Linked DNA regions of Sus scrofa. The main gene of each other region encodes a partner of the protein of the gene in region 3 in a complex. Links are inferred from orthologs where the notes say so. Each region holds a gene or a part of one and is shown on either strand. Other genes may lie near its edges. The genes, in order: TGFB1, GDF11, TGFBR1 and TGFB3.

What was found.
Region 1: the proteins of TGFBR1 (region 3) and TGFB1 are in contact, whole or in part, in a crystal structure (PDB 3KFD), measured with the Homo sapiens proteins. The link is inferred for Sus scrofa from reciprocal best matches to the Homo sapiens genes TGFBR1 and TGFB1. Residues at the interface, in NP_004603.1 of Homo sapiens: His39, Leu40, Thr42, Lys43, Phe55, Asn68, Met70, Ile78, Phe84, Val85; in NP_000651.3 of Homo sapiens: Ala279, Leu280, Asp281, Asn283, Tyr284, Tyr328, Ile329, Trp330, Gln335, Lys338.
Region 2: the proteins of TGFBR1 (region 3) and GDF11 are in contact, whole or in part, in a crystal structure (PDB 6MAC), measured with the Homo sapiens proteins. The link is inferred for Sus scrofa from reciprocal best matches to the Homo sapiens genes TGFBR1 and GDF11. Residues at the interface, in NP_004603.1 of Homo sapiens: Ile78, Pro79, Asp81, Arg82, Phe84, Ala87, Pro88, Ser89, Ser90, Lys91; in NP_005802.1 of Homo sapiens: Phe322, Ala324, Phe325, Gly326, Trp327, Trp329, Ile330, Met382, Tyr384, Phe385, Asn386, Asp387, Ile392, Ile396, Pro397, Met399.
Region 4: the proteins of TGFBR1 (region 3) and TGFB3 are in contact, whole or in part, in a crystal structure (PDB 9B9F), measured with the Homo sapiens proteins. The link is inferred for Sus scrofa from reciprocal best matches to the Homo sapiens genes TGFBR1 and TGFB3. Residues at the interface, in NP_004603.1 of Homo sapiens: His39, Leu40, Thr42, Lys43, Phe55, Met70, Ile78, Phe84, Val85, Lys91; in NP_001316868.1 of Homo sapiens: Ala301, Leu302, Asp303, Asn305, Tyr306, Tyr350, Leu351, Ser353, Thr357, Thr360, Leu364, Leu368.

Annotation. Positions count from the first base shown.
Region 1 is NC_010448.4:49,339,653-49,347,139, forward strand, and holds part of TGFB1 (transforming growth factor beta-1), read right to left. Parts: intron 4,661-7,487; coding exon 4,500-4,660; intron 3,013-4,499; coding exon 2,895-3,012; intron 465-2,894; coding exon 387-464; intron 203-386; coding exon 52-202; intron 1-51. UniProt on the Homo sapiens protein: Transforming growth factor beta-1 proprotein: Precursor of the Latency-associated peptide (LAP) and Transforming growth factor beta-1 (TGF-beta-1) chains, which constitute the regulatory and active subunit of TGF-beta-1, respectively.
Region 2 is NC_010447.5:21,195,457-21,201,923, reverse strand, and holds the end of GDF11 (growth/differentiation factor 11), read right to left. Parts: intron 4,362-6,467; coding exon 3,894-4,361; intron 3,475-3,893; coding exon 3,401-3,474; downstream 1-3,400. UniProt on the Homo sapiens protein: Secreted signal that acts globally to regulate anterior/posterior axial patterning during development. May play critical roles in patterning both mesodermal and neural tissues. It is required for proper vertebral patterning and orofacial development.
Region 3 is NC_010443.5:240,902,766-240,910,252, reverse strand, and holds part of TGFBR1 (TGF-beta receptor type-1), read right to left. Parts: intron 5,053-7,487; coding exon 4,885-5,052; intron 2,678-4,884; coding exon 2,521-2,677; intron 576-2,520; coding exon 451-575; intron 1-450. UniProt on the Homo sapiens protein: Transmembrane serine/threonine kinase forming with the TGF-beta type II serine/threonine kinase receptor, TGFBR2, the non-promiscuous receptor for the TGF-beta cytokines TGFB1, TGFB2 and TGFB3.
Region 4 is NC_010449.5:99,149,725-99,157,921, reverse strand, and holds the start of TGFB3 (transforming growth factor beta-3 precursor), read left to right. Parts: upstream 1-3,816; 5' UTR 3,817-3,942; coding exon of another isoform or gene 3,943-4,083; coding exon 4,084-4,429; intron 4,430-8,197. UniProt on the Homo sapiens protein: Transforming growth factor beta-3 proprotein: Precursor of the Latency-associated peptide (LAP) and Transforming growth factor beta-3 (TGF-beta-3) chains, which constitute the regulatory and active subunit of TGF-beta-3, respectively.

The DNA.
Region 1 (7,487 bases), on a different chromosome or scaffold from region 3:
CGGATGCTAAGGAGGGCCCGGAAGGCCTCAGCGGAAGGCTGCAAGGTTCACCTGAAGCAGTAGTTGGTATCCAGGGCTCGGCGGTGCCGGGAGCTGTGCAGGTGCTGGGCCCTCTCCAGCGGGGTGGCCATGAGGAGCAGGAAGGGCCGGTTCATGCCGTGAATGGTGGCCAGGTCACCCCGGCGGCCAGAATTGAACCCTGCTTTGGTTTAGGAGTCAGGGAGCGGATAGGGTTGGGGGAGACATACACACACACACTCAGATGGATGAGTAGGGGGTGGGCAGGGGAAGAACGCGCCCACGCGCGCGCACGTGCGCACGCGCGTGCACACACACGCACAGAGTCACTGCTGGGCACAGGGCTGGGCCAGGGAGGCGGGCCTCACCGTTAATTTCCACGTGGAGTGTGTTATCTTTGCTGTCACAGGAACAGTGGGCACTGAGGCGAAAACCCTCTATAGCCTCTGCGGGAGTGGGAAGAGGGAAGCCAGTGTGAGGGGGCGGCTCCTTCCTCCTGGGGGAGGTGGAAGGAAGTAGCAACTCTCCAGGGTGGGCGGCCAGGGAGCTCCTTCCTGCCCCTTCCCCTGTCTGCCTCCCGCTGCATCCTCTTGCTCCAGTTCTTAGCCTGCAGCCTCCTCCACCTTCAGGTCTCAGCTCAACTGCCTCCTCCTCCAGGAGGCCATCTAGGCCGGAGCCCCTCCCAGGCGGTGACAGCATCGATTTTCTCCACAGCACTCACCCTCTCTGATATTTGTATTTGGCCATTTATTTCCCTCATTGTTCTCTGTGGCAAGCAGGATACATGGGGGCGGAATCCTTGTTTTCTTGTTCCCTGCTCGGCTGGCCCACAGTCGCAACAACAAACATCTACTGAGTGTGCTGGGTGCCAGATCCCGTTCCAGATGCTCTGTGTGCATTCTTTCCTTTGATTTTCACCAGAGCTCCCCACCAGACAGATGAGGAGGCCAAGGCCCACAAAGTGGGGGTAACTCACCCCAGGTGGGAAAAGGCGGGGCTGGGACACAAGCGCCCAGGCTCTTGTTCCAGGGCTGACCAGGGCTCGAACCCACGCCAAAGCAGTAACCAGAGCTACCACAACAGCAGTGACAACACTGGTCCTTAACCGCTGAGCCACAAGAGAACTCCGAGAAAGGTTTCTTGAATGAATGAGTGAATGCGTTCCTAAGCTCCTACTATGTGCCAGACAGTGTTGGGGGCTGTGGATTCAGCAATGACCAAGACCTTTGTCCAGCAGCCCAGGATATTCGTCCCAGTGCCCACCTGCTCTCTCACCGCCATCTTTTCATCTGGTCAAACCATCCCTTTTCCCATGAGTCTCAACACAATCCTCCTCACCCAGGAAGCCCTCCTGGACCCCTCCGGATGGGTCTGGGTGTCCACTCTGGGCTCCCACGGCACTTACAGCCTCCCTCCCCCTGGCCCTGATCACTGGGGCCATCACAGCCAGCCAGGGCTCTGCTAAGACTTCCTAGGTGTCTAGAAGTGGCTGTGGGTCCCATGAGGGCAAGCCTAGAGATGGTGACGGAGTGACCCCCACACCACCAGCACGGGGCCAGGCACAGAGCAGGGACCTGCTGGCACTGACTGAATGAAGGGATGAGTGAAAGGGAGATTAGGAAGGGAGGCCTGAGCACTGTGGACTCAGGCGGCACGGGACAGACACAGTTCTCTTCCAGACAGATCAGGCGTGTCAGGCTCTCCCTGGACTCAAGGCCTCTGCACACCCTCTCCCTCTGCCTCAAACACTCTTGTTTGTTTTTGTTTTATTTTATTTATTTATTTATTTATTTATTTTTGTCTTTTTGCTATTTCTTTCGGCCGGTCCCGCGACATATGGAGGATCCCAGGCTAGGGGTTCAATCGGAGCTGTAGCCACTGGCCTATGCCAGAGCCACAGCAACGCAGGATCCAAGCCGCGTCTGCAACCTACACCACAGCTCACGGCAACGCCGGATCGTTAACCCACTGAGCAAGGGCAGGGACCGAACCCGCAACCTCATGGTTCCTAGTCGGATTCGTTAACCACTGCGCCACGACGGGAACTCCTGTTTTTGTTTTATTCTTTTCAGGGCCACACCTGTGGCATATGGAGGTTCTCAGGCTAGGGATCGAATTGGAGCCGCAGCTGCTAGCCTACATCAGAGCCATAACAATGCAGGATCTGAGCCATGTCTGTGATCTACACCACAGCTCACAGAAACACCAGATCCTTAACCCACTGAGCGAGGCCAGGGATCGAACCCACATCCTCATGGATACTAGATGGGTTTGTCACCACTGAGCCACAATGGGAACTCCTGCCTTGATCACTCTTGTCCCTCCTTCCTCCCCAGGCTGGGTCACTCAAACCCCAGACACCCACTTCAATGTCCCCTCCTCCAGGAAGCCCTCCCTGACCTCCTGGTCTGGCTCAGAGGCCCTCCTCTGAGCTCCCCATCCCAATCCTGTCCAACTCTGGGACATTACTACCTGGTTTTTATTTTTCACTTTTTGGGACCGTACCCACAGCATGCAGAAGTTCCCAGGCCAGGGACTGAACGTGAACCACAGCAGCAACAACACTGAATCCTTAACAGCTAGGCCACCAGGGAGCTTTTTTAGGTTTTTTCCCCAAATCCCCTCACCCTACCACGAGGGCAAGGATGGGGCGGTTTGGGTCACTGCAGTGTCCGCAGCATCACTCAGCACAGGGCAGGTGCTCAGGAAACGGATTAACCATTCATCACTCAGGTTTGAGTGTCTGGGGAAGAGGGCCAGGCCCGGGCTCTTTGGCACCAACATGGGGTGGGGGGTACTAGGCAGGGCAATCCCAGGACAAACAATGGGCTCAAGGCTATTACAAAATAGGGGTGGGGCAGACAAGCGGTCCTCACCTCTGCGGGTCAGCCACTGCCGCACAACTCCGGTGACATCAAAGGACAGCCACTCCGGTGAGTCACTGGGGGCCAGCAGCCGGTTGCTGAGGTAGCGCCAGGAATCATTGCTGTATTTCTGGAGGATGATGAATTTGGGGAGGAAACAGTGGGTAGATGCCGCCACTCACCCCCATGTCCACTGCAGCCCTCCCTCCACCCGCTCCCCAAACCGGCCCTCCAACAGCCCCCTCGAAGACATCCACACAGAGGCCCCCCAGTAACTGCCCAGGCCCAGAGCAGCCCGCAGGGGAGGGAGAGCCCCAGGCTGGGGTCAAGGCACATGGGCAGCTCAGCCTCCACCCTGGACCTCAGGCATGGCCCTGGAAAACCCCTCTCCCGCTTTGGCCTCGGTTTCCCCACTGGTGAAATGCCAGGCCCCTTTCAGCCTGGACAGCCCACGAGGCTATGATTCTCCTTCCAGACATCGTGAGGGTTATTAACTATACAGTTCTGGAAATTTGGCCACCCGAACACCAAAAGTCTATAGGGGTTTCTGGGGGCTTATGTTAGAAGTCATTCCATAACTCCAGCCCTCGGGGAGCACCCCGGAATTACCTGTTCAATCAGCCTGAGAAATTCTATGAGACTAAAGTTCTACAAACCCAGGAGTCTGACGTGTCACCAACCTAGATGTTGCAGATGCCTGCCCTCCCTGTGGAATGACCCCTGGAAGTCGGCAGCACGAAGCCAGGTTCTCTAGACTCCAAGAAGTTAACACTAAAAGTTCCTTGTGAAAAGAGTCTACCACCTGCTATGGAATAGAACATTCTACCTGATAGGGATTCTGGCTCACATGACCTTCAAGAGAATCCAGTCCTTCTGGAGGACCCAATCTTCCTGGAGACTCTAAATCTTCTAGAACAGAGCTATCCAAAGAACTTTCTGTGTTGATGGAAATGTTCTTTATCTGTGGTGTCCAAAATAGCAGCCACTAACCCCATGTGACTATGGGCCACTTGAAATACGGTCAGTGAGACTGAGGAACTGAATTTTTTCTCTCGTTTAATTTTTTTTTTTTTTTGGCTGCACCCGCAGCATATGGAAGCTCCCAGGCTAGGGGTCTAATCAGAGCTGCAGCTGCTGGCCTACCCCACAACCACAGCATCGCCAGATCTGAGCCACGTCTGCGACCTACACCACAGCTCACGGCAATGCTAGATCCTTAACCCACTGAGCGAGGCCAGGGATCAAACCTGCAACCTCATGGATACTAGTCAGGTTTGTTACGGCTGAGCCACAACAGGAACTCCCTCTTTCATTTCATTTGAACAACTTAAATGGCCATACGTGGCTAGTGGCTGCTGTGTGGGACAGAGCATTTTGAGTCTCCAACCTTTCCAGAGATTGCAACTTTCAGGAGTCCTGAGTTCTTCGAGTCCAACTCCTAAGATTCAGGCCTTCTAAATGTTTATCGTCCAAAGGCTATAGGTGTCGGAAAGCACTGTGTCTGTGCCCACCACCCCATCCTTCGGGGTCCATCTGTGTGGATCTCGGTAGCCACCAGCCTTCCAGCCACCACAGCACTGCCCCAGCCCAGGCCACCTTTGGGGCCCAGACCCCCACCTGGTATAGCTCCACGTGCTGCTCCACTTTTAACTTGAGCCTCAGCAGGCGCAGCTCTGCCCGAGAGAGCAATACAGGTTCCGGCACCGCTTCCCGGAGCTCCGACGTGTTGAACAGCATATATAAGCTGTGGGGGGTGCCCTTGAATTTATCATAGATTTCTAGGCAGGAGCGGAGAGGGGGGATGTTAGGGCTTAACAGGCACAGGAGGGTTGGCACACCCCAAGTCTAAGGGCTGACAGAACTGGGTTGGAGCCCCCCCACCAGACGCTTTTTAGCTGTGCGACCTTGGGCACCGGGCTTCTCTCTGGGTTTGTTTCTTCCTCTTTAATCGAGGTCTCATCCACCTTCCCCTCCCACCATGCAGGAAGTGTGCCCTCAGTACGAGGCTGGCACCGGGGTGGGGGCTGCTCTGCTTACTCAGGCCTCCCCAGCACTTACAGCCGCCAATGCAAGTTATGGGTTTTTTTTCTCTCTTTTTCTTTCTTAGGGTCAGAAGTTCCTGGGCTAGGGGTTGAATCAGAGCTGCAGCTGCCGGTCTACGCCACAGCCACAGCAATGCCAGAGGGAGCCGCAGATCGTGGCAATGCCAGATCCTTAATCCACTGAGCAAGGCCAGGGGTCAAACCCGCATCTTCATGGCTACTAGTCAGTTTCTTAAACTGCCAAGCCACTGAACTCCCCAAATGCAAGTTACATTGCATAGGGATTGAGGGCATTTGGATCAGACTGTGTGCCTCTACTGCCTTCTGTGACTTTGAGCAAGTCACATTCCCTCTTGGCGCCTCAGTTTCCTATTCATTTTTTTTTTTTTTTTTTTTGTCTTTTGTTGTTGTTGTTGTTGCTATTTCTTGGGCCGTTCCCGCGGCATATGGAGGTTCCCAGGCTAGGGGTTGAATCGGAGCTGTAGCCACCGGCCTACGCCAGAGCCACAGCAACGCAGGATCCGAGCCGCGTCTGCAACCTACACCACAGCTCACGGCAACGCCGGATCCTTAACCCACTGAGCAAGGGCAGGGACCGAACCTCAACCTCATGGTTCCTAGTCAGATTCGTTAACCACTGTGCCACGACGGGAACTCCAGTTTCCTATTCTTTAGGAAAGATCAACTTGACATCAAGTTCTCTGCTTCTCAACCCAGGCTCTCCTAACTGAAGCACTGTGTACCTTTGGTCTCCTCTCTCTGTGCCAGATTCTCCCCTGTAAGGCAAGGACTGACTGCAGGATGACAGTGTGAAATAAGTGAGATGATGGCAGATAAAGCATGTCGCAAAGAGACTGCATACTGTGGTCACACCAATGTGTGTGTTCAACAACCCCATGACGAAGATACTGTTATTATACCCATTTTATAGGTGAGGAAACTGAGGCACAAAGAGATGAAGCAACTTGCCCCAAGACCACACAGCTAGGAAACTGCAGAATGGAGATTCCAACTCAGGCAGTCTGATTCCAGAGACTCTGTTAACCCCTAGACTATGCTGCCTCCCTGCTAATATGACCTTACTCTTGTTATTGTTATTACTAATAATTGCTTCCTCCCTCAGCTGGATAGAGATGGCAAAGTTCATTCTAGGTAGGAATGGCTTCAAGGGCAGAGGAAAGGGAACAGAGAAAATTAGGAAGAGTGTCTTCTAATCTAGAAAAAGTTGGGGGCTGGGAATGAGGAGGCCAGCCATGAAGGCCTGGTCAACTGGGGAAGTTGCTTTCCGCCTGTGCATGGGGGGTGGGGGACATGCTGGAGACATCTGATGAGAAAGGACAGAGGAAGCCCCTTCTGGGGGCCTCCTTCCCCTACTAGTCCTTGTCTAGCCAGGCCAGTCACCCCCCCCTCACCCGCCAAATAAGCCCTATCTTGGCCCAGGGGTTACTCAGCAGACCCCAAAGGGAGGGTAGAGCACAAGCGGGGAGACAAACAGGGAGGAAGAGAGATAGAAGGGCCAGGAACGGTCAGAGGGGAGAGCTGGAGATTGGGGTATGGAGAAGAAAAAGAGAAAGAAGAGGTGGCGAGGCAGAAACTAGAAGATTCAGACAGTGACAGAGCACGACGGGAGAGATGGAAAGGCAAAGATGGGCGATAGAGACACACAGGAAGAGAGACGTAGAGTTCAGAGACCAGATGGAGGCATAAAGGGATTGAAGGTGTCAGTGCTGAAAAAATCTCTACAACGTAAGTGAGGCGACCAGGACGGAAAAGGTGACACAGAGATGCGAGTAGGTAGAGGCGTCATTTGGCTGAAGTCGCAACTGGGCGCACAAATGGGCCAGAGACCCACAACTACACGGCCAAGGAAGAAAGCGAAGGCGGAGGGGGCGCCCCCAAGCCTCCGGGCCACGCGGGACGCCTGGGTCCCCGCGCGGGTGCTCGAGGGGCCGGCCCAGCGGTAGCCCCGCCCAGAGCTGGGGGTGAAGAGGGCGGGAGGCGCCGCCGGCGCGAGGGCGGGGACCGGACCTGTCTCGTCTCGCCTCGGGCTCCGCGCGCGATCCCCCCCCCACCCCCCGCCACCAGGCACGGGAAGGAAAGGGAGGGGAGGGAGGGCGAGGCGGCCGGACGCTGGGGTTTCCCCAGCCTCCCAGAGAGGAACTAAGAGTTTGGGGTCCTGGCTCTCCGCGTCTAGCTCTACGTAGTCCTCCTGCCCCCTTCCGGAAGCGCAGGCTCCTCCCCCCGCGCGTGGCACCCACGTGGGGCTTCCTCACCCATACCAGTTCGGTTTTCTTACCCCGATCTTGTAGAGTCGCACCCACCCACCTCTCCCCCTATGGCTCGACTGCTCACTCAGCCTTCTGCCTTCCATCCCGGGGACATGGGAGTCGCTCGCTGCTCCCAGCATGGCACGGTCCTTCTCTCCTCTGCCTCCTCCCAGGTCCACCTTTCCCACGCTTGTCTCGCCGCTCTATAAACCCCTTCCCACGACCCAGTATTCTAGGTTTCCTGGGGCCCCGCTTCCTCCGCCGGGCTTCCTTCTCTCAAGTCCGTGTGCGAAATA
Region 2 (6,467 bases), on a different chromosome or scaffold from region 3:
CTCCCTCAGATCCTTTGCTTCCTGGTCTCCGAGGTGTAAATGTGGCGCTTGATGAGGGAGAAGAGCTCATCACTGATTTCTAAACTCTTTGACTGCTTTTATTTATTTTTTTTTTTTCAGGTTCAAGTGCTGGATTGTGTCATGTGACCATCCCAAAATTCAGAGCACCCTATGGCCATCTTTGCCCTCTGTCACATAACTTGAAAACTGCCTGATGGCCTTTTTGCAATGGTTCCCTCCAGGAAGCCTTGATCTCAGTGAAGAAGTCCTTTCCTGGCATTCCAGTGCCCCTGTCAGCCCCATACTCCTCAGACACCCTTAACAAACAAAGGCAATCACACACATGGTGTAACAAATACACAAAGTAAATAATAATTACACTAATTATGATCAGAGGGGCACTGGCCAGGTCCACACACATCATGAGGTGGGGGGGGGGGGTACTAGTTCCCACTAGGTTGCTGGGCTGTGCCCCCAAGCCTATTTATCCCATGCCTCTTTGGGTTGAGGAGGACCAGGAGAATGAGACTTAAAACTCAGATTTATGTTCATAAGAGAAAGACCCTCCCCCAAAGGTCTTTATTTGGTGGGATTACAGGGGCATATTCTAAGTGTCCCCCAAATCTAATGCCCCAGCTCTCTAGAACTTGTAGAAGGAAGTCACCTGATGCCTCTTGTCCAACCCCCACCCTGTGCCAAGATCAAGAGACACGGGCATTTGGCCTTGGAGGAGGCATCTTCTGATCTTCACTTCTCTGTTCCTCTCCTTCCACCAAGGAAATATGAATGGTGTTGATGGTCAGGTGGGTCTTGGTTTTCCAAGATTGGGGCAGAAGGAAAGATGAAGAACAGGGCCAGAGAGGAGAGGCTGGGGGGTTAGCTTAGCTGCTATGTGGGAGGAGGCGAGTTGAAATGTTTAACAGCCCTTGCCCATTCCTGTACCAAAATAACCTCATCTCACTTCTTCACTATGGGAATGGGAATAAGATGCCAAAACTCACCAACATCACCCTTCCAAGGGTGGCCACATACCTTTTCCCCTTCCACCAGCTGGGCCAGGCGGGAAAGTCATGCTCTTGTGAAGAACCAACCTTGCAGATCAGCTCTCCAACTTGGGCTTTACTTTAGTTCAGCACTGTTTGCATCAGACCCATAACTGCTGGCTCTACTTAGAGTGACAGTTTTGCTGAAGGTTCTTTTCCCCTCCTCTCCTGACATCCTCTAGGCTCTAGTCTGGAACCAAGAGGTCTGGTGGTGAGGTATGGATAGGGTATGGGTCAGGAGATTCTCAACTCCTTGGCTTCAGGCACTGTCCAGCTGGGAGGGAGGCAGAGGGGAACTTGTACTCTGAAGCCTGTGACTCCTCAGCCTCACATCTCTTCACCACTACTCTGGTGCCCTGGTTATCTGTCCCACAGCGAGAGGTATTTTATGTCCATAAAGTGCCCGTGGTAAGTGCTCAGAATTCATCTCTTGGCTGTGGCGGGTGCTGCTATTTCTCATTCCATAGAGGGGAAGAAACCGAGGCACAGTGCGTCCCGAGGAGGGTGGGTCAGGATTGTGGAGGAATGAATAGGCCCAGCTAGTGACTTGGAGTGGCAACCAGTACCTGCCTGCTTCCTAGCTTTCCAAACCAGGGAGTCTCCATCCTTCCTGTCCTCTGCTCTAACTGGCCTTGTCAGATGCTTTCCCCCACTTTATTGTCCCCTCCCTGCTGCCAGGTACTGCTAGGTTCCAAAAATAAAAGATAAAAATAATTATAGACACTCTGCTCCCTTGTTCTCTCTCCTTCCACCCTGAGCTTTGGGGTTGGGGGACTAAAATGTCCCCCCTCCAGAATCCCTTCCACCTTGGTCTGCTGGCTTTCCTCCCTAGCCCAGAGCAGTGATTTGGATTCAAACGCCCTGTAACCTTCAGCCTCCTTACAACTCCTTTCTTGACCTCTCCTAACCCTTCCCAGACCTGGGGACTCTGGGCTCTCTCTATTCTTCTTTTTATTAACCTGAAGACAGAGGCTGGGAGCAGAGGCATTCCACAGGCTCTTTGGTCTCTCTCTTGGCTGGGGGGATTTTGAGCATAAGCAGGCCACACCTTTGCCTAAATAAGTCAGTACAGTGAGGGTAGACCTGAGGGTTAGTTTAGTGGCTCTCATATAGATCCTGGATGTTGAGCGCCCTCCCCCACACCCCCAAGCTTCTAAACCCTAACCTCTCACTGTCTCTGCAATTGCTGGAATTCAGTTCAACCCGTTTGGCTCAGGAAGGTTAAGTAGGGTGATTTGGGGTTGGAAACTTCCATGTGTCAGCCCTCTTGCCCTCTACTCCCGTTCTCAACCCTGGAGGCTTTTAAACAAGTGCTTAAGTAGGTGGGTATTGAGGGAGGACAGGGTTTGGGGAATAAGGGACAAATGGGGCACAGTGGGCAGGGGCCCTTCTATTTCAGTAAAGCCAAATACCAAAAAATGAAAAGTCATAATAAATAAATAAATAAAGTTCCAAAATCCTCACGTTTGCCCCTGCCCTTACTTCCCTTCCCCTAGCCACTGCTGGAGGGAGAAAGGGAAGAAGCTAAGAATGGGTCTGGATTTCCTCTCCTACTGAGAATGGTAGTCAGGGGGGAATCTCCCCAGACCGTACCAAGCCCCTCACCTTGCCACTGGAAGAAAGGAGGCTTGGTGTGGGGCTTTCTCTTAATATTCCATTTCGGTCTCTTCATTGTTTATCTCTGCCTAGTCTCTGTCTCTTCTGCATCTCTATTCCTTTGCCTTCTCGCTGCTGCTTTTTGTTCCTCCGTCTCTATCCCTCTGCTCTACTCTGTCTCTACATCTCTCAGTCTTCTTGCCAAACCTTCTCACCTCAGACCTCACACACTCCCCACCTGACCATGCCCCCTCCTCTTCCCCCTTTCCCTCAAACCCCTCACCCCTCAATCCCCCACCTGCCTCCCTCTGTTGTATTGCACACTGCTTGGGCAGGGAACAAGGTGTGATGTTCATCAGAAGAGGTGGAGGGAGCTTTAGGGCCTGGGGGAGGGGGTCAAAGCTGGGGGTCTAGGGGTAGGGTCTGTGGGGGGGGGCATCCTCTGTCCCCGACCTTAGGAGCAGCCACAGCGATCCACCACCATGCCAGGGATCTTGCCGTAGATAATTTGCTGCTTGTCATTGAAGTAGAGCATGTTGATTGGGGACATCTTGGTGGGGGTACAGCAGGGCCCAGCAGAGCCTCTTGGATTAGCCTGTTGCACCAAGTGGGTGTGCGGGTACTTTTGCATGAACATGTACTCGCACTGGCCAGAGCAGTAGTTGGCCTTGTAGCGTTTAGGTGCGATGATCCAGTCCCAGCCAAATGCCTCAAAGTCCACTGTGAGGGGATATCGGCAGCAGCGGGACTCACTTGAGTGCTCATCGCAGTCCAGACCCAGGTTCCGCCGAGACCGTTTTGTGTTCTCTAGGACTCGAAGCTCCATGAAAGGATGCTGGGGTGAGGGAGAGAAGAAAGACATGTGAGAGAGCCCTGAAGAGCTCCCACTCCCTGCTCTTTTGTCACCTGCCCCTCAACAGGGGATCGGAACAGAGATTATTGATTTCTCAGCTTCTCCATTGCTCCCATCCCCAAGCCCTGCCTTCTGCCCACTTTTCTTGCCAGCTAGCCATCTCTCCTCAACTCACCTTGCCGAATTCTCCCTCTCCTGGCAACCTGGCCCTCATCCTTAGCTCAAAGTCTTAACAATAGCCCACCTTTGTCTCATGAATTTGTTCACCTTCACCCAAATCCAGTTTTCAGCCGTTACCTGCCTTGGGTCTCTGAAAAGTGATAGCACCCCATTACCACCACCTAACTCTATTGAGTCAGCTCCAGACCCTCAACACAACACCCTTTGCATTCCTGGTCTACCTTTTCCAACATCCCACTTCCTCAGGGCCAGGTTATACATATCTGCCAACGTCTCAGGCTTCCTGCTCACCAGTCCCTCAGCTCCCGGCCCCAGGGAGGTGACAGCCAGGTCTGTGCCACTGGGATCAAAGGCGTTGATCTCGATGCCCCAGTTGCTCTGTGGCTGGCGGAACCAGCTGTGTAGCACTTGCTTGAAGTCGATGCTTTGCCAGTGGCCAGAGCGCGAGTGCAGGTCAATTTTGAGAGAGCGGATACGGATGTGACGCCGGCCTCCGCCCCCTCCCCCTGCTGTCCCTTCCCCAGTTAGGGGTTTCAGTCGCAAGATCTGCAGGTAGACTGTGGCTGGGCGGGGCACAGGCCGTAGATACACCCACAGCTGGGCCTTCAGTACTTTTGTGAACATCACCTTGGGGCTGAAGTGGAAATGGCAGCAGAGAGGGCTGCCATCTGTCTGCACTGCAGGGTCCGCTGATAAGAGAGAAGGGGGCACAGCATCAGCAAAAGGTGTTTGTGGAGGGCGTCAGCAGCCTTGGGGGGTGTCGGCAACTTGGACTCCTCAGCCCGTGTTACCTTTCTCCTCTGCTTTCTTGTTAACTACCATGTCACCGGAGCCTAGAATAGCACCCTGCTCCCCCAGTAGGATGATGGCTCTGTTGGGCCTTACGGGATCTGCACCCCTTCCTTAATCTGTTTGCCCTAATGCACAGGTTCCCCTCTACCAGATAGCCTGCAAAGATAGTTATTAGAGAACTCTTCCACCCTGCTGTCTTCCCTTTCTCCAACTTTGCCCAGCAAATAGGGCTCCAACTTGTTCTGAATCTTTGATGCTCTCCATAGGAGGCAAACCTGCTATCACACCTGCTGTCCTCAGGTTACCTTTCCCCATTTCTGCTCTGTTTTGTCTGGTGGCCAGGTGGAGCCTGGCACAGGCCCCCCAAAACAGATGGCCTCAAAGAATGGATAACCCAAGGTCCAGATAGGGAGCATGGACTAAATTCATTCCTTGAAGTAAATCAGCAGTCAGATCTAGGCTTCTCACATCGTTCCCACCAGAAATAACACACCCAGAAGAATGGTACTACTCAAGCAAGCCCCATGCATCTTGACTCCAACATCCCTTGACCCTGAGAACATGTTCCCTCAGCTGCTTCCTCATCACCATTTTGTTGTCTCCACTTTTTTTTTTTTTTTTTTTGTCTTTTTTGTTGTTGTTGTTGTTGCTATTTCTTGGGCCGCTCCCGCGGCATATGGAGGTTCCCAGGCTAGGGGTTGAATTGGAGCTGTAGCCACCAGCCTACGCCAGAGCCACAGCAATGTGGGATCCGAGCCGCGTCTGCAACCTACACCACAGCTCACGGCAACGCCGGATCGTTAACCCACTGAGCAAGGGCAGGGACCGAACCCACAACCTCATGGTTCCTAGTCTGATTCATTAACCACTGCGCCACGACGGGAACTCCCTGTCTCCACTTTTAAGGAAAGGAAAAACTACCTCCATGTATTCTTTCTCCTACTTTCCCAAACCATCAGAAATAATATTCAACACACCAAATCAAATGTAATCAGTCTTCTTTTCTCCCCTGGGCTTCCTTCAGTTTCTCAGTCCAGCGCCAGTAAGCCTTTACAAAGATTTAATATCCCAACTTTACATTTTGGCCCACTGCCCCTTGTTCTGGACCCTACACTGACCCTTCTTGTGTTTAAAGAATGAATTCTCTATCTGCCTCTGCTTCCACTAGAGCTCCTCTCAGTTTCCCTTTCTAATCTCTTATGTCAGTTGAGAATGCCTTAAATCATGTTTCTATTGGACAGGAATATCCATCCCCACTCTAAATATACTCTGAGAGGAAGAATCAGGAACTAGCTCCCAGAGCCATGTAAGGATGATGAGAAAGTTTAGGTCCTTATGTATCACGACCACGTCTGCATGATCATGGAGAAGTTATCATTTGTTGTCTGCCATCAGCATCCATCCCACACTCCCACCCTAGGAGAAGGAGGATACTTCAAGTGAGATGAGGAGGAAAGTGCCTAGTGATCTTCATATATTCAGGACACGAGACACAAAATTCTTTTGCAGCTTTCCTTCCCTTGGTTCTTCTCCAAGGTCCCAGGGCACTGGTAGTCCTCCCAGGTAATCTCCTGCTGGAGCTGCAGTGATGGTGCAATGGGACAGGGTTTGGGGAGTGGAGATTCAGGGATAGGAGAGTCCCTGGGGCTGCTGGTGAGATGGAGAGTGACAAGCAGCAACTGAAATAGCATACTAAGCCTAATTTCAGCATAGGGTCTATCTGATTTTCCTGCCTGTCTTCACCATTAGGTACAAATTTCTTTTTTTGTGTTTGTTTTGTCTTTTGTCTTTTTTAGGGCCGCACCCTTGGCATATGGAGATTCCCAGGCTAGGGGTCTAATCAGAGCTGTAGCTGCCGGCCTACCCTACAGCCATAGCACTGTGGGATCCGAGCCACATCTGCAAACTATACCACAGCTCACAGCAATGCCAGATCCTTAACCCACTGAGCAAGGCCAGGGATCAAACCTGCATCCTCATGGATGCTAGTCAGATTCGTTTCC
Region 3 (7,487 bases):
TTAATCTCAAACTAACCTTACTTTAAAAAGCAATGCAATGGTAGTATATTTGTGTATGTAATTTCCAGCTATCAAAATGGAGAAAATAATAATCACGGGGGGAAAAAATCAGTTTGACCCAGGCTAGAAATAGCTTCCTGGGTGGCCTCTTAAGCAGTCATCCATTCTCAATTTCTATATTCCAAGACAACAAGGGGTTGGTTTTGGATGCTTCCCAAGATTTAAGTGGAAATAGAAAAAGACTACATTGGGATAAAGCTGTAAATTAGGATTAAGCTGTACACTAGAATAAGGCATGTCATTTACCTCCTTTATTTTCTCTGACACTCTCAGTGATCACCAGGGGAATATAAATTTCAGATTGCTAACTGCAATTTCATTCAATAAAAAGGACAATTCTTGAACAACTTTTGTTCATAATAAAAATGTTTGGGGTTAGGGGAGATTTACCACCAACGGAACATCGTCGAGCTATTTCCCAGAATACTAAGCCCATTGCATAGATGTCAGCACGTTTGAAGGATTCAAAGTGTTTCATATTTATGGAATCATCTAGAACTTCAGGGGCCATGTACCTAAAAAAGAAGTCAGCATTTTATTTTATGGAATAGTGACATTACTTTTAAACTATTGCATAAATTTTTACTCCTGAAAGGGGGGAGGGTAATCAATATTAACTTTGACCTTTCCCCCCTTTCAGCAATTCTGCTGGGGTTGTTGTTGATGTTGTTTTTTTGTCTTTTTAGGGTTGCACCCACGGCATATGGAGGTTCCCAGGCTAGCAGTATCGGAGCTGTAGCTGCTGGCCTATGCCACAGCCACACCAGATCCGAGCCACGTCTGTGACCTACACCACAGCTCACGGCAATGCTGGATCCTTAACCCACTGAACAAAGCCAGGGATCGAACCTGTGTCCTCATGGTTACTAGTCAGATACTCATTTCTGCTGAGCCACGATGGGAACTCCCGCTGGTGGTTTTGTTTTTTTTTTTTTTTTTTAATGCCTACTACTACTTACAGAAATGTTCCCAAAGTACGTAAAGTACAAAGTGGAGAAAATCATTCCATTACTGCCACACATATTAAGATTTTAACACTCCTTTTGGACATCTCTTTATACACAGACATATACAGACTATATTACAATAGATCATATTAGACTCAAAAAATATTAAATATCTGTACTGGTTTGCAAATTAATGATGTCAACTAAATCTCATGAAAAGCTGAAACAGCAATTTCATGCTGTCTGCCTTTAAGATCTTTGTTTCCAATGAAGGACACACATGTAACAACTGACTATCATAAACATTCCAATGTACACCACCTACTTTGTCATGTACTATGCAGGGATTATGTATTTTAATCCAGAAGTCTTCTCACTAAAACAGGATAAAAAGAAGGACAAGGACATACTCCAGGGAACGAAATAAATAAAAATGAATGCCAGCCAGCCCTCCTACTGACACCAAATTTTAGGGTTCTGAGGTTTCAAAAATTCTACTAAGGTTACAGATTAGGACCCAGGAAGACCTGTAGCAACCACTGTCCTGGAACTGTGAGTCAACAGTTCTGAGAGCCCTGTTGAATCCATAAATGATAAATACAGTTGAGATAGAATAAAGGTTGGCTCTATTCAAGTGCAAAGTAGTAGTTTGAAGCTACGATGTGGCAAATGCTGTGATACACAGAGTAAATCCTTTTGGGTCAGAAAGGCCCAGGTTCAACTCTCAGTTTTGCAGCTTACCATCCATGAGGGTGGCCCCATTACTTAACCTCCATGAGATGGTTTCCTCATCTGTGAATTGAGGGTAGTGACACCTGCCTACCTATGTTCTTTGAGTACTCATAGATTCAACAAATATTTACTGAAGACCTACAATGTATTAGGCACTGTGATGGATGCTGGGAATACAAGACTGCTCTCAAGCAGCTTATGGTCCAATTGGATATTCAGACGAATAAATGGACAGCTGTAATGTGCCAAGTGCCTCAATAGTCCAAGTTCAGCATATTATGAGAGTCCTTGGCAAGGACAACCTAACAGTCCAGAAAAGGATTCCTATGAGAAAGGAAGATTAAGTACAAGTTAGAGAAACAGGAGGAGAAAGTCTGCTCTAGGATACAGCACATGTTAAAGTTAAAAGAGAGAAAGACACGTTTTCAGGAAATAAAAATGTGAATACAGTTTGACTACAGTACAGTATTTGAGGAAAGCATTAAATGAGATTATATAAAAAACCCATTACAATGATTGGTACAGAGCAGGTACCCTATAAATATTAGCTATTATATGATAACAGAACTAGTGGTAATACTTTCTGCAAGGGCACCATTCATCAGCAGGTACCATTTTAAGTCAGGTAACTTTGCCTTCAGAGCAGGCAAGACCATGAGATGTAGTTCTACCTGTGGGCAATCTAATGAAGTACAAGGCTGAGTTTCAGAAAGATAAGTATATAGGAATAAGAAGGAAAAGAAGTTGATTTAAGAACATTACAGTGTATCCATAAGTGTACCTTTTTGTTCCCACTCTGTGGTTTGGAGCAATATCAATTGTATCTGTGGCTGAATCATGTCTTACTGCCAGTCCTAAGTCTGCAATACAGCAAGTTCCATTCTTTTTTACCAAGATATTCTTTGATTTCAAATCTCTATGAGCAATAGCTGGTTTTCCTAATGAAGAAGAAAAAAAATCAGACATGGTTGCATAAAGGGTAATACCAATCACAAATCTCAACTTGGGTCCAAAAGCCTCTCCTCCAAACTCACTATCAACGCATTTTGGCCTCCATCACTCACAATAACTGAGCCATTACTAAACAACCTAAAGTGAATCATTACACAAAAAGTTGCTGAAGTTAATTCCTTTAAAGAAAGCAGAGAAAATAAGATGCTCTAAAATATGATGCTCAAAAAATGGAACTCTAACACTTAAAGACGGGGGGGGGGTTAAAGATATTAATTTGTTTGTTGACACCCTCTGAATTTTTTAGAGGAACCCTAGTAACTGATTTTCAAATCCAACAACCAAGAATCTAGATCACTTCCTTTGCCAATCAACTAGAATGTACCTTTAATACTAGCCTCTAGGAGTGCTATTAAAATATAATTATAATGTGGAAAATCTGGAACCCTCATATGCTGCTGGTGGGATTTAAAAGGGTACAGGCACCTTTGGAAAAAAAGTTTGGCAGAGTTACTATCTGATTCAGTAATTCCACTCCCAGGTGTATGTCCAAGAGAAATGAAAACATATATCCACACAAAAACTTATACACCAAAGTTCATAGCAATATTATTCACAATAGCTCAAAGTGGAAAAATAATCCAAATGCCCATCAACTGATGAATGGACACCCAAAATGTGGTATATCCATAAAAAATGGTACTGATAAATGCCACAACATGGATGAACCCTGAAAATATATACCAAGAGAAAGAAGCAAGTCACAAAAGACAACTTAGTGTATGATTCCACTTATATGAAATGTCCAGAATAAGCAAATCTATAGAGATGGAAAGTAGATTTAAAGGTTGCCTCAAGCTAAAGAAATGGGGAGAAATAGAGTTCTTTTTGAGGCAATGAAAATGTTTTAAAATTGACTGTAGTGATAGCTGCACAACTCTGTGAATATACTAAAAACCATTGAATTATACAGTAAATGGGTAAATTGTATGGTATGTGAATTATAACTCAAAAATAAAAAATCAACAATAAAAATTACAAAGACAGGGCTGGCTGAAATAGTAAAACAGCATACGTGATGTGTGTAGTAATGTAGGGGGTGGGAGCCATCAATAGCAAGTGGATGATCATTAAAGCAGAAAATGTAACTGGTATCTGATATTATGGCACAAACATAGCATAAAAATTTTATAACCAAAACTTAGTATTCAATTTTTCAACTACAAAACTGTCCCATGCAGTCTTCTTATCATAAGGTCAAATATAATTACTAGGTGGTCAGATAAAATTTCTAGCATGTTGATGTTTACCGAGCATTTTCATATTTCATTTAATACTACATATAAATTGAATTCCAAAATCAAGATCCTCAGACACAAACATTATATGCTATTACTTGTATGTGGAATCCAAAAAGAGGATACAATGAACTTACTTGCAGAAGGGAAACAGATTCACAGACTTCGAAATATTTATGGTTACAGGGGACAGGCTGCAGGGGGAGTGGGGAGAATGGACTGGGGATTGGGGATGGAAATGTTCTAAAATTAGGTTGTAATTGATGGTTGTACAATTAAGAATAAAATTCATTGAATTAAATCAAGATCCTCAAAAATCATAAGCAAGACTATACAATCTTAAGACACAAAAATATCAGTGTTGTTACAATACCTAAAGAATCTCTCAACAAAATCCCAGATTCCTAACTTTTTTTTTTTTGTCTTTTGTCTTTTTTGAGGGCCACACCCACAGCATATGGAGGTTCCCAGGCTAGGGGTCTAATCGGAGCTGTAGCTGCCAGCCTATGCCACAGCTCATAGCAACACCAGATCCTTAACCCACTGAGCGAGGCCAGGAACCTCACAACCTCACGGTTCCTAGTCGGATTCGTTTCCTCTGTGCCACGATGGGAACTCCTAGATTCCTAACTCTTAAGATTTAACAGAAAGACTATTCTCCAAGTCCATGATTTTCTTTTCTGTGGAAAGGTTCATTTGTGCTGTATATTAGATTGCAGATATAAGTGATATTATGTGATATTTGTCTTTCTCTTTCTGACTTACTTCACTCAGTATTCTCATCTAAAAACTCAGTTTAAACATCTCCCATTAGACTGACTTCTTGCAAAACTTTTCCAAGTGGACATCAGATCCAAGGACATTTAAAGCTTAATAACAAGACTGCTTTGACTTACCTTGGGTACCAACTATCTCCATGTGAAGATGGGCAAGTCCACTTGCTGTGGACAGAGCAAGTTTTATCATTCCTTCCACAGTAACTGTGTATCTATTCAAGTAATCAAAAAGGGATCCATGTTCATGATAATCTGACACCAACCAAAGCTGAGTCCATGTACCATTATCTGTAAGTAGAATAACAATACTTCAGATGGGTTTAGAACATTTATGATGTATTAAAAGTTCTCACTTTCCCTCTCAATCCTGAACCACACGACTGCAGTATGTTGGTACCTTAAATCTGTATATATTTCCTTCATATTTTCAGTTTGTCTCATACTTTTATGTACATATCCTTTAGATCCTTAAAGTAAGCCCCCTATTCTTGTGATTAAGATAACTAATCCCATTCAAGAGAGAAAGAATCATAGTTCAAAGATGGTGACTTTAAGTCTACACAGATAGTAGCGAAGCTGCCTAGAAGAATGCCTGGTTCAGGTTAGGTGCTCAGTGGTTGTTCTGGAAGGAGGAAGGGAAATGAGAAAGGGGGGCGGGGCGAGGGGAGAAGATGAGAAGTATCTGGAACCTAGTGTGGCCGCAATGGGAATGGAATATTATGGGACAAACTGAAAGTGAGCTTAAATGAGAAATTCAAACTTTAATGACAGACTATGTATACAGTTCACAGAAAAGCCAGACAAGACGATTATGATTCCAAGGTTTCCAGGTTAGAAAAGTATAAAAATAATGGTGTCACTGACACATGAGAAAGCTAGGACAGGAAATGAAAATGTTGAGAGGAGAAAAAGCTGGGACTGAATCCAGTTTACACAAGGTGATTTTGAACCTCAACAACCTAGGAATCTGAGTTCTTCCAAAAATTCATTTGAAAGCTAATACATGAATCTGAATTGTATTTTCCCACGAGAATCACGGTAAATATTCTGGTTGGGCTTCTAGCCTAGGCTGGTCCATAAAAGCCTAAGTTAACCTAGAAGTAGCTAGAAAACCATATATTTCACAAACTCATGAGAGCAAAAAAAGTATTACAACAATACTAGTAGATAGGACAATTCAGTAAAAGACACACATTTAGAGTCATTCTGACCAGGGTTGGAATCCAGGGTGTGGTTATTACTATGTGACCTTGGACAAGTTTCTTAACTTTTGAGCCTTTGTTTCTTCTTTTACACAACAAGAATAGCTTACTTTTCAAGACAAAGATTTTAAAATAGGATGTTTTAAAGCATTTAGTGTAACTCATGGCACATAAGAACTTAAAATGTGCTATTTCCTTCTCTATTGGCTGTACAACAGAAAAAACTCTCAAATGACATAAAAAATTTTCTATATTTTGAAGGTTGTTACTTGAAGGAAAGTGATTCTGATTAGAAGAGATTAAGGAAGGAAATGTTTTCAGAAGATTCTGGAGGTATTTTCAAAAGAATTTAGATATTCGGGATACTAGTTCTTTATAAACTTGTTACTTGATAAATTATTATAAACTGATTCTGTCCAAACTTGTACCTTTTCTTTTCCTTAATACAGGTACATCACTAGCTTCATCTGCATGCTTACTTTTATTTCTTTTTTTAAAGTTTTATTGACATACAATTGAGTGTGGTATGCATGCTTTTTAACTATACCTGAATTCTGAAAGGTTCACAAATACAAGAAATAAATAGGAACATAGTCAGATGGAAGAATGGGAGATTTTCCTGAGGTAACTGACAAAAGCGGTAGAAGGAAAAAGGATATATTAGAAGCTATACACACATAAAGGATTGTCTGAGGTGGAATTAACTAAATCAGGAAGAGAAAGTTAAAGGAAAAGGGAATGGAGGTGGTGGGGCTAGATTCTAGGCAAAGTCCCTTAACCTTGACCAAGAAGAAAGGTGTGGGTAGGGAAGAGCCAGCAGGGTTGCCAGTTCCCACGGTGACCACCAGATGACAGCACCGGCTTGGCTGCTGCTTGAGCAAAAGGGAAGAGTTCAGGGCACAGCAGTCAGTGTGTTTACAACTTGGAACAAGCCTAAACAGTGTTGGGGCTGGTGAGGGTTGAGCCTCAAAATGCAGATTTGAAAGTCACCACCACCATGGAGTTCAAAACCAGAAATGTGGGCAAGTTCTTCGAGGGAGCAATTATTATTTGTAGAATTAAAGCCTTCATATGAATTAAGAGTTTCAGAAAGCAGCTATTAAGAAATAACGTCTAGAGTTACAGAACATAATAAAGGGTTGTTTTAAGGGCTGAGAGAGAAGCCAAACTGTGTTAAAGACAGAAGAAAATGAAAACTAAGGACTTGGTCAGACTATGATCACTGCTTTTATTTATTTTTAAATTAAATAACACAAATTGGTAGTAGCTATTAATAATCACTGCTTACATACATCACCAGCCATAAGTCACAAAAAGGAGATAATCTAATATGCCTTCTGATGTGATAACGATAGAAAGTATATAATATGTAGAAAGTATATAATATTTTCAGGAAACCAATAAAACAGATTCAATCTCTAATTCTAACTACCAGTTTACATTGTATACAAGGAGCAAGTTCAAAGATATAAGATTTTTCAGTTAACAAGTCTACAATATGATAAGCCTTATAGAACAAAC
Region 4 (8,197 bases), on a different chromosome or scaffold from region 3:
GATGGAACCGAGCCTCAGGAGTGACCTGGGCCGTGCGGAGACAGCAATGGATCCTTAACCTGCTGTGCCACCATGGGAACTCCTGAATTTTTCCATTTCTTGTGAGCTCTATTAAACAATAATCAGTATCAGGGCTGCAAAGAACAAAGAGCTTTATTGGAGGGCTATCTTAAGAATTGTTGGGAGACAGATTCTGGTAAAATCAAGAGTGTTCCAGGGAAAAGAAAGAGTCAGGGGCTTACAAAAGGCAAAAGTCATGAGGCTGTTCTCTGCTACTACGAGAAAGGAAATGTTTGTCCTTAAGGAATCACGAGTTACTTCCGAGTAAGGGTCTGATAAGTAGATAGGCTGTCACGAGTTATTGTAAGGTAGGGGTCTGATAAGTATCTTGAGTTTCTGGCAGATCTTCTGGATGCCTTCATTAGGACAATAAGTGGTCAAAAGGTCAGATTTTATCCAGGCTGAGACTTACATAATTCACACTCCCCCAGTGACCTTTTAGTTCCATTGTAGAGAGCTTTCTTAGCAAGAGCGACTCTATTTCTTTCTTTCTTTCTTTTCTTTACTTTTTTTTTTTCTTTTTATTTGCATTTTAGGACTGCACCTGAAGCATATGGAATTTCCCAGGCTAGGGGTTGAATTTGAGCTGTAGCTGCCAGCCTACACCACAGCCACAGCAACACGGGACCCAGGCTGCATCTGCAACCTACACCACAGCTCAGGGCAATGCCAGATCCCCGACCCACAGAACCAGGCCAGGATCGAACCTGCATCCTCATGGATACTAGTTGGATTCATTTTTACTGCACCCCAACGGGAACGCCTGAGACTCCATTTCTATCTTCTTCCACAGCTGCACCATCACCACCTTGGGGCCACTTTCCAAGCCTTCACTCCTACTTCTTCCCTGACTTCCTGAAAGCAAGAGGTGCTCACTGTGTGCAGAAAGAGGCCCTGGAGTAGTGTCTTCCAAACCTTGCACTGACTCACCTGCAAAGTTTGCTAAAAACAGATGTGAACTCTGATTTGCTAGAAGTGGAGCCCAGGCGGGTATAACTTCAACAATTTTCCCTCCTGTTTTGCAAGTATTTATTTAAAGGCCTCCACAAGGCCTTCTCAGATTTTAAACTGCAACATTTCCCCAACCTAGGCACTTCCTCTCCTCCTTCCCTGCTTTATTCTCCACCATGGCATGGACCTTTTACCATTATTACACTGCTTACACATTTATTTCATTTATTGCCTTCCCATTGCCCCACCTCCACCTCGAGAATATAAAGTCCATAAGGGAATGGCTTTGTTTCATTCACTGCTGCATCCACCGAGCCAGGAACAGGGCCTGGCATATAGTAGATATCAAAATATTTCTCAAATGAGAGCTGAATTCCAGAGGCAGTATAGCATAGAGTAGTTAAGTGCATAGATTAACTGGCCACAGATTTCCTGGGTCCACATCTCAGTGTTGACGCTCACTAACTATATGACCTAAAGTCATTCAAAATAATTTACTCTAGAAAAAAAAGTTGTTTTAATTTTTTAAAGTTTTATTGAAGTACAGTTGATTTACAATGCGATCATTTCTGCTGTAAAAAGCAAGTTACTTTAAGCTTTCTGCATCTAGGAATATTTCCCAAACCTGAAAGCCCTTGTTAAATATTACCACCACCACTCACCAGCGGTGTACGCTCGAAAATCGGTCCGTGCCTCCGTTTCCTCAGCTTAAATTGATCAGCCACTGCCCTGGGGAGGCTGAGAGCATCCCTTCAGTTAGCGGCCTAGGAACCAGGAGCAGAACAGGCCCTCGCAGGAAGGGTCAGGAAGGCTGGGGCGAGGCGGGATGGGGTGGCGGCGGGCAGCAGCACTGATTCCCAGGAAAGTGATCAATTCAGAGACATTCCTGAGTTGGCGGGGCGGGGGCAGGCGTTGTGGCTTGCCCTCCCTACGTTTTTGATGGGAAAAGACCTAGAAGCTTAGGCTGAGAAAAGGAACGAAAGTGGAGAGAAAACCTCCCCTCACCCATCTGGGAAATGGGCTCGGGCCAACTGCTGACTTTGCGCTCGCTGGCGCAGCTCCCCGCGGAACCCTCGGCGGGGAGGGAGGCCAGCAACATCTGGAGGACATTTCTGCGAGAGCCGCTGCAGAAGGGGCTCCGGGAAGGGAGAGGTGCACTTGTACGCACCTCGGGCCGGGAGGGAGCCTGTTCCCCAGGGCACCTGATCTTGTTTTCTGCACCCTCCTTCGCGGCCCCATCTCCCCAGGCCCCCAGCCTTACCCCCAAACCCTCCCGACCCCGGGGGAGCCCCCGTCACTGGCGGCCTCGCCTCGCCAGAGGGCACCCTCGATCTGCCGGAAAACGCCACCATTTTTCAATGCCCCTGGAGCGTCGCCAAGCTTCCGCGAGCCACCCGACTCCAATCTTGTCAATGAAGAATCGGGGCCAGCATCGCCGCGGAGCTGAACCCAACTCCAACCCCGCTCCCAGGCCGGGCGTCACCCCCACCGAGGGTGGGCACGGCCGCCCCTCCCACGCCCCGCGCCCCTCTCCCCCCGCCCCGTCCCTGCCTACGTCCCGCCAGGCCGGGGGGCGGCCGGGGACGCGGGGCCTGGGAGGGATCGAGAGACCGGCCGAGGAGGGGACGGACTGACAGCTGGCGAGAGGGCGAAGGAGTCGGGGGGGAGAAGGAGGGAGGGGATTCATCGGAGTAACTTTCCAGAAAAACAGTCAACGTGTAGCAGGAGTGACTCCAAGAGGGGAAAAAAAGTTCAGTTACCACGTCGATCGAGAGGACTCGCAAAGTATTTTTCAAACGGGCTCGGCTTTTCCTGTGCCTGTTTAAAACATTAAAATCGTGCAGCAAAAGAGGCTGCGTGAACTGGTCCCTCCCCCCCAATCCCCCACCTCCTTTGCCCCCCCCCCCGCCCCCGGGCCAGAAACGTCATGGGAGGGAGGTATAAAATTTCAGCAGAGAGAAATAGAGAAAGCAGTGTGTGTGCATGTGAGTGTGTGAGAGAGAGGGAGAGGGAGAGGGAAGCTAGAGGGAGAGAAAGGGAGGGAACCAGAAAGCCAAGTCCAAGGGAATGAGCAAGAGAGGAGGCGAGAGATAGGGGAAGAAGCATGAGAAAGAAGGAGTAACAGCTTTCCGGAGGAGGCATGCAGTGAACCAACCGGCTTCTGTTTTATTCTTCTTTTCCTTTTTATTTTTATTTTTTAAGAAGCAGGGACCAGAAGCAATGGCCGAGGGAGAAGACAAGCCGAGGTGCTGGTGACCTGGGCGTCCAAGTGGATTATTGGGGCTACTCTCCAGGGGCTGTCCCCTTGCATTCCAATTGCACATAAGCCCGCATCCCAGCCAATGAAGATGAGAGGCAGCATGAACAAAGTCATTTAGAAAGCCCCCGAGGAAGTGTAAACAAAAGAGAAAGCATGAATGGTGTGCCCGAGAGACAAGTGTGTCCTGCGCTGCCCCCACCTTTAGCTGGGCCAGCAGCAGCCTAGCCCTGCCTCTCCCCACCTACTCACTGGGATCCGACTTTTTAAAAAAAAAATTTTTTTTCTTTGCTTTTCCATCCTCTTTTCTTATTCTCCTTCAGGGCAACGCAAAGATTTTGATTTTTGGGACCCAGCCATGGTCCTTCTGCTCCCTCTTTAAAATACCCACTTTCTCCCCATCGCCAAGCGGCGTTTGGCAATATCAGATATCCGCTCTATTTATTTTTACCTAAGGAAAAACTCCAGCTCCCTTCCCACTCCCAGCTGCCTTGCCACCCCTCCCAGCCCTCTGCTTGCCCTCCACCTGGCCTGCTGGGAGTCAGAGCCCAGCAGAACCTGTTTAGACACATGGAGAAGAAACCCAGAGCTTCAAGGCACACAGTCGGCTTCTTCGTGCTCAGGGTTGCCAGCGCTTCCTGGAAGTCCTGAAGCTCTCGCAGTGCAGTGAGTTCATGCACCTTCTTGCCAAGCCTCAGTCTTCGGGATCTAGGGAGGCCGCCTGGTTTTCCTCCCTCCTTCTGCACGTCGGCTGGGGTCTCCTCCTCACCAGGCCTCGCAGCCCCCGGGCCTCTCTCCCCGGCTCACGCATGAAGATGCACTTGCAAAGGGCTCTGGTGGTCCTGGCCCTGCTGAACTTTGCCACGGTCAGCCTCTCCATGTCCACTTGCACCACCTTGGACTTCGACCACATCAAGAGGAAGAGGGTGGAAGCCATTAGGGGACAGATCTTGAGCAAACTCAGGCTCACCAGTCCCCCCGATCCATCGATGTTGGCCAACATCCCCACCCAGGTCCTGGACCTTTACAACAGCACCCGGGAGCTGCTGGAGGAGGTGCACGGGGAGAGGGGAGACGACTGCACTCAGGAAAACACCGAGTCGGAGTACTATGCCAAGGAAATCTATAAATTCGACATGATCCAGGGGCTGGAGGAGCACAGTGAGTCCAAATTCCCGCTGGGGTGTCTGCTCTGGAGGGTCTGACCGGGAGTAGGGCGCTCCACAGAGGGGGGCCTGGCGGTGGCCACACAGCGGGGTGCCCAGGGTTCGAGGCCCCAGGGCTCCGGAGGTATGATGCGCAGCCAGAGGGCTGGGGAGGTGGGTGGGAAGAGGCAGAGGGACCTTCCTGGTAAGAGCTGGGTGCTGCTGGGAGGCCGGGAGCCCTGCAGTTGAGCGGCCTGCTAAACTCCCATCCCATCATTGACCGATTTTAATTCGGAGGGATGTGGTGCTGTCGCGTTAACACATGCGCTGTGGCATATGGGTCAGATAGGTATCTGTGAGCCTGTGGATGCCGCAGAGGGACCGGGCTGCTCTCTCCTAAGAGAGCCCTTGCAGTTCTATGAGGCTGGGGACCTCGGTCTGCCCCCTGCTTTTCACACCTCATTGTGACACGTCTCACGCTCGGTTTGTCCACAGCTGGGGACAAAGAGTATACTTGCCCCAAATTAATGCCTGTCCAGTTTTTTGAAGCCCAGGCAAGAGACAGCTTCTAGCTGTCTAGGCCTTTCAGTCCACGCGACACATGTGACCCACGTGAGCTGTGTGGGGGAAGGGGATGCACCTCTGTTCACGTGTACATGTGCTTTCAAGCGATGTGGAGCTCTGGCTTTGCACAGAAGACTGATTCATGTGTGCAGTATGGGCGTCTTCCAGGCCTGTGGACATGGAGAAAGCAGGGATGTGGCTCTGGATGTGTAGACGACGCTGGCAGCCCTTTTGTGTCTGCGTGTCAGGGAAGAGTGGGTGGGAAGTGTGGCTGTGGGTGCAGAGGGGACGTGTGTCTGGGAGTGTGTCTTCCCAGGAGGCTCCCGTCTGTGCTGCGAAGCTGGGCGGCTTCTGGGTGAGACGTCTGTGTGTGTTTGTACACGTGTGGAAGTCATGTGTGTTTACTGAACGGGGATTTAAAAAACCTCAATACAAGAAAGAGAGATTTGGCAGATGCTGAGAAACTGACAGCCCAGGAAGGAGGAATGTGAGCCACTCACGGGCCAGGGACTCTGGGAACAGCTCTGTTTGCTTTTCCTACCAGCAGGTGTCCTTGATGCCCAGGCTACCTCAGCCTTGGCTCACCTGGGAGGTGGGCAGTGCCTGGAATAGGGGTGGGAGAGTTGGACGGAGCAGGCAAGGTGCGTGTGGTCGGCAGGGGAAGTGCAGGGTCAAAAGGAACCTGCCTGGAGAGGAGGAGGAGTGGGCAGCCGGGGGGTGGACCAGCCCTGGCAGAAGGTGCCAGAGGCCTCACTGGGAGCGCCGGGCCCAGGAGCGTGTAGTTACCGGCGAGGGGCTCCTGATCCGATTTCCTATGGCTGCCTTCGATGTAGCTCCTGTGTGGGGTGGAGGCCGGAGAATGAGGCACAGCTCGTGTGCTCCCTTCCCGGGTCCTCTAGGCGGGGCTGGCTGGGGGTCTGACGGGGGTGGGGGTGGGGGTGGCTTATGGTTAGCAATTGAAGAGCTGAACCCGCAAACCCTTGGGAACACAAAAGCGGGAGATAGTGGCCTAAGGTTGGAGGAGGGTTGAAAGCTGACGCCTTCGGGAGAGGTATGAGGAGGGTCCAGGGCCAGAGGGAAGGACCTTAATGATCCGGGTCAGGAGGCGGAGTCCTGGGGAGGAGGGGTTCTGAGTCACCAGGGCCCATACAGCCTGGCATCTCAAGCTGAGACAGATGCAAGGGCACACAGGTGCCAGTGGACGTTTGTATAAAGACTCAGAGTACAGTTAGAGGACAGCCTTGTGGAAACCAGGGAAGGGCTGCACCGATGCTGGGCAGCACCATGGCTGCAGCACCAGGACCTTCCTTGAAACTGTAGTAGGTGGGGGCAGCCCAGAGCCGCCATCGGGCCAGAAGGAAACTTGGCACAGTGGGCAGGATGCTACTGGGATGTCATGGCGGGTCCAAGGCCCCACGGACCACGGGGGGTGCCAGTGAGGCTTGCAGGTGCAAACAGGAAGCAGGCCCAGACGCTGCAGCTGCTGGAGGTGACACAGAGTCTGAGCAGACGCAGGCCGGGCCCGCCCTGCAGCTGGCCAGGTGCTGAGCCAGCCCCAGAGAGGCGGACGCACAAGGCGCAGTAATTATAAAGAAGGCCTGGTGCAAACGTCCCACAGATGCTGAGCGGGAGCAGACAGCCATCATCCAAGGCCTGGGCGCGGGGGCCTGTCTGGAACACACGAGGGCGGGCTGGGGTCTGTGGTGGGGCACGGGCAGGGTCTGAGTGCCAGAGCTGCCGCTGCCGCCCAGGTGATGAGGTCACATTCTCTTCTTCATCTCATCATTCCCAGCCCCCTCTGGTGCCAAGTAGACAGGCTCTCACAAGGAAGTGACAGCAAGGGCCAGGGCAAGGAGACGGGGTTCCTGGACAGCCCAGTGCTAGAAGGAATAACTTCTGGTGGCACAGGAGAAAGAGCACCCAGGTGAGAGCAAAGAGGACGAGACCCATTCTCTGGCTCTGTCCTGTCCAGACAGGTAACCTCATCTCCCCATTTTACAGATGAGGAGCCTGCAGCGTGCATCAGTTAAATAATTTGCCCCAAAGAACCGGGACTGTAACCTAGACATTCTGTCTACAGCATGCATGCTGTTAAGGTGAGATGTGGGACTTCTCCTGTGGCTCACGGCCTAACTACTCAGCATTGTCTTTGCAACCGCCCTGCTTCGATCCCTGGCCCAGGAACATCTGTATGCCGCCATGCAGCCACATGTTTTTTTAAAAAAGATGCAGATGTATGAAACACACATTTTAAATCCCACCTTTAATCTTTAGGCTCCAAGAGCACTTTGGTTTACAATGGGAATGACTCCACAGGTTGGGCCAAGCAGGTGGGCCTAGGAGCTGCTACGTTGGTAACCTGGTGGCAGATTGCATAGGGATCCCTGGGGGTGTTCTTTCTTTGCTCTTTCTATTTTTATGTAGCCGGGAGATTGTGGCATTTTATGCCACAAAAATGTTCTCCTAAATTCGACAGAAGGGTTTTCTGGGTTTTCTTCATCTGCTGAAGAATTTCAAGCAGGTTAAGCAACTACACCATGTGGAATTGAGCAAGTCCTCTCTCTGTCCCTCAGTTTCCTTATCTGTAAAGTTAGAGATAATCTCTAAACTCGTTTTCAGCCTAAACAATTCTATGTATATCTCTGGGGCGATTCAACAGGTCTCTGCTGGGGAGTGAAGGCAAGCCTCATATTTACCTTACTCTCCCGTGTAAGTCTCCAGGATTTTGCTCTGGGAAGTTGGTAGAGGCTTTCTCCGACCCACGTGGTGGGGCAGGACACAGCTATTTCAGTTCTTTTGTCATCCTTGTTATTACCATATCACTAGTGTAGGTGTTGTTTTAACTTGTGGCTTGTAATTATCCATGTCTGGTGGCAGACTCTTGTTTTCATCCAAGGTTTGGTGCTGAGATAATGAGCAAAACCAGAGTTCATGAGCAAAGAGAAAACTTGATATTTTAGCATTCTTTGCTGGATGCTACCTTTACCTCTTGTTCATTCTGAAAATTAAAAGAGGTTTCATATTGAAAGAACTCACCTGTTCTAAGTGCTAACGCCCTCTGCGAACTAGGCCAGGGCTAAGGATATGTGAAAAATGTGGATTCCCAGGCCCCAGCCCACCCTTACAAAATCAGAATCTCTGGGAGGTGTTGTCTTGGGAAATCTGAATTTTTAACAAGCTCCCTATTGATTTTTAAGTTCACTTAAGATGCTTAAGACTC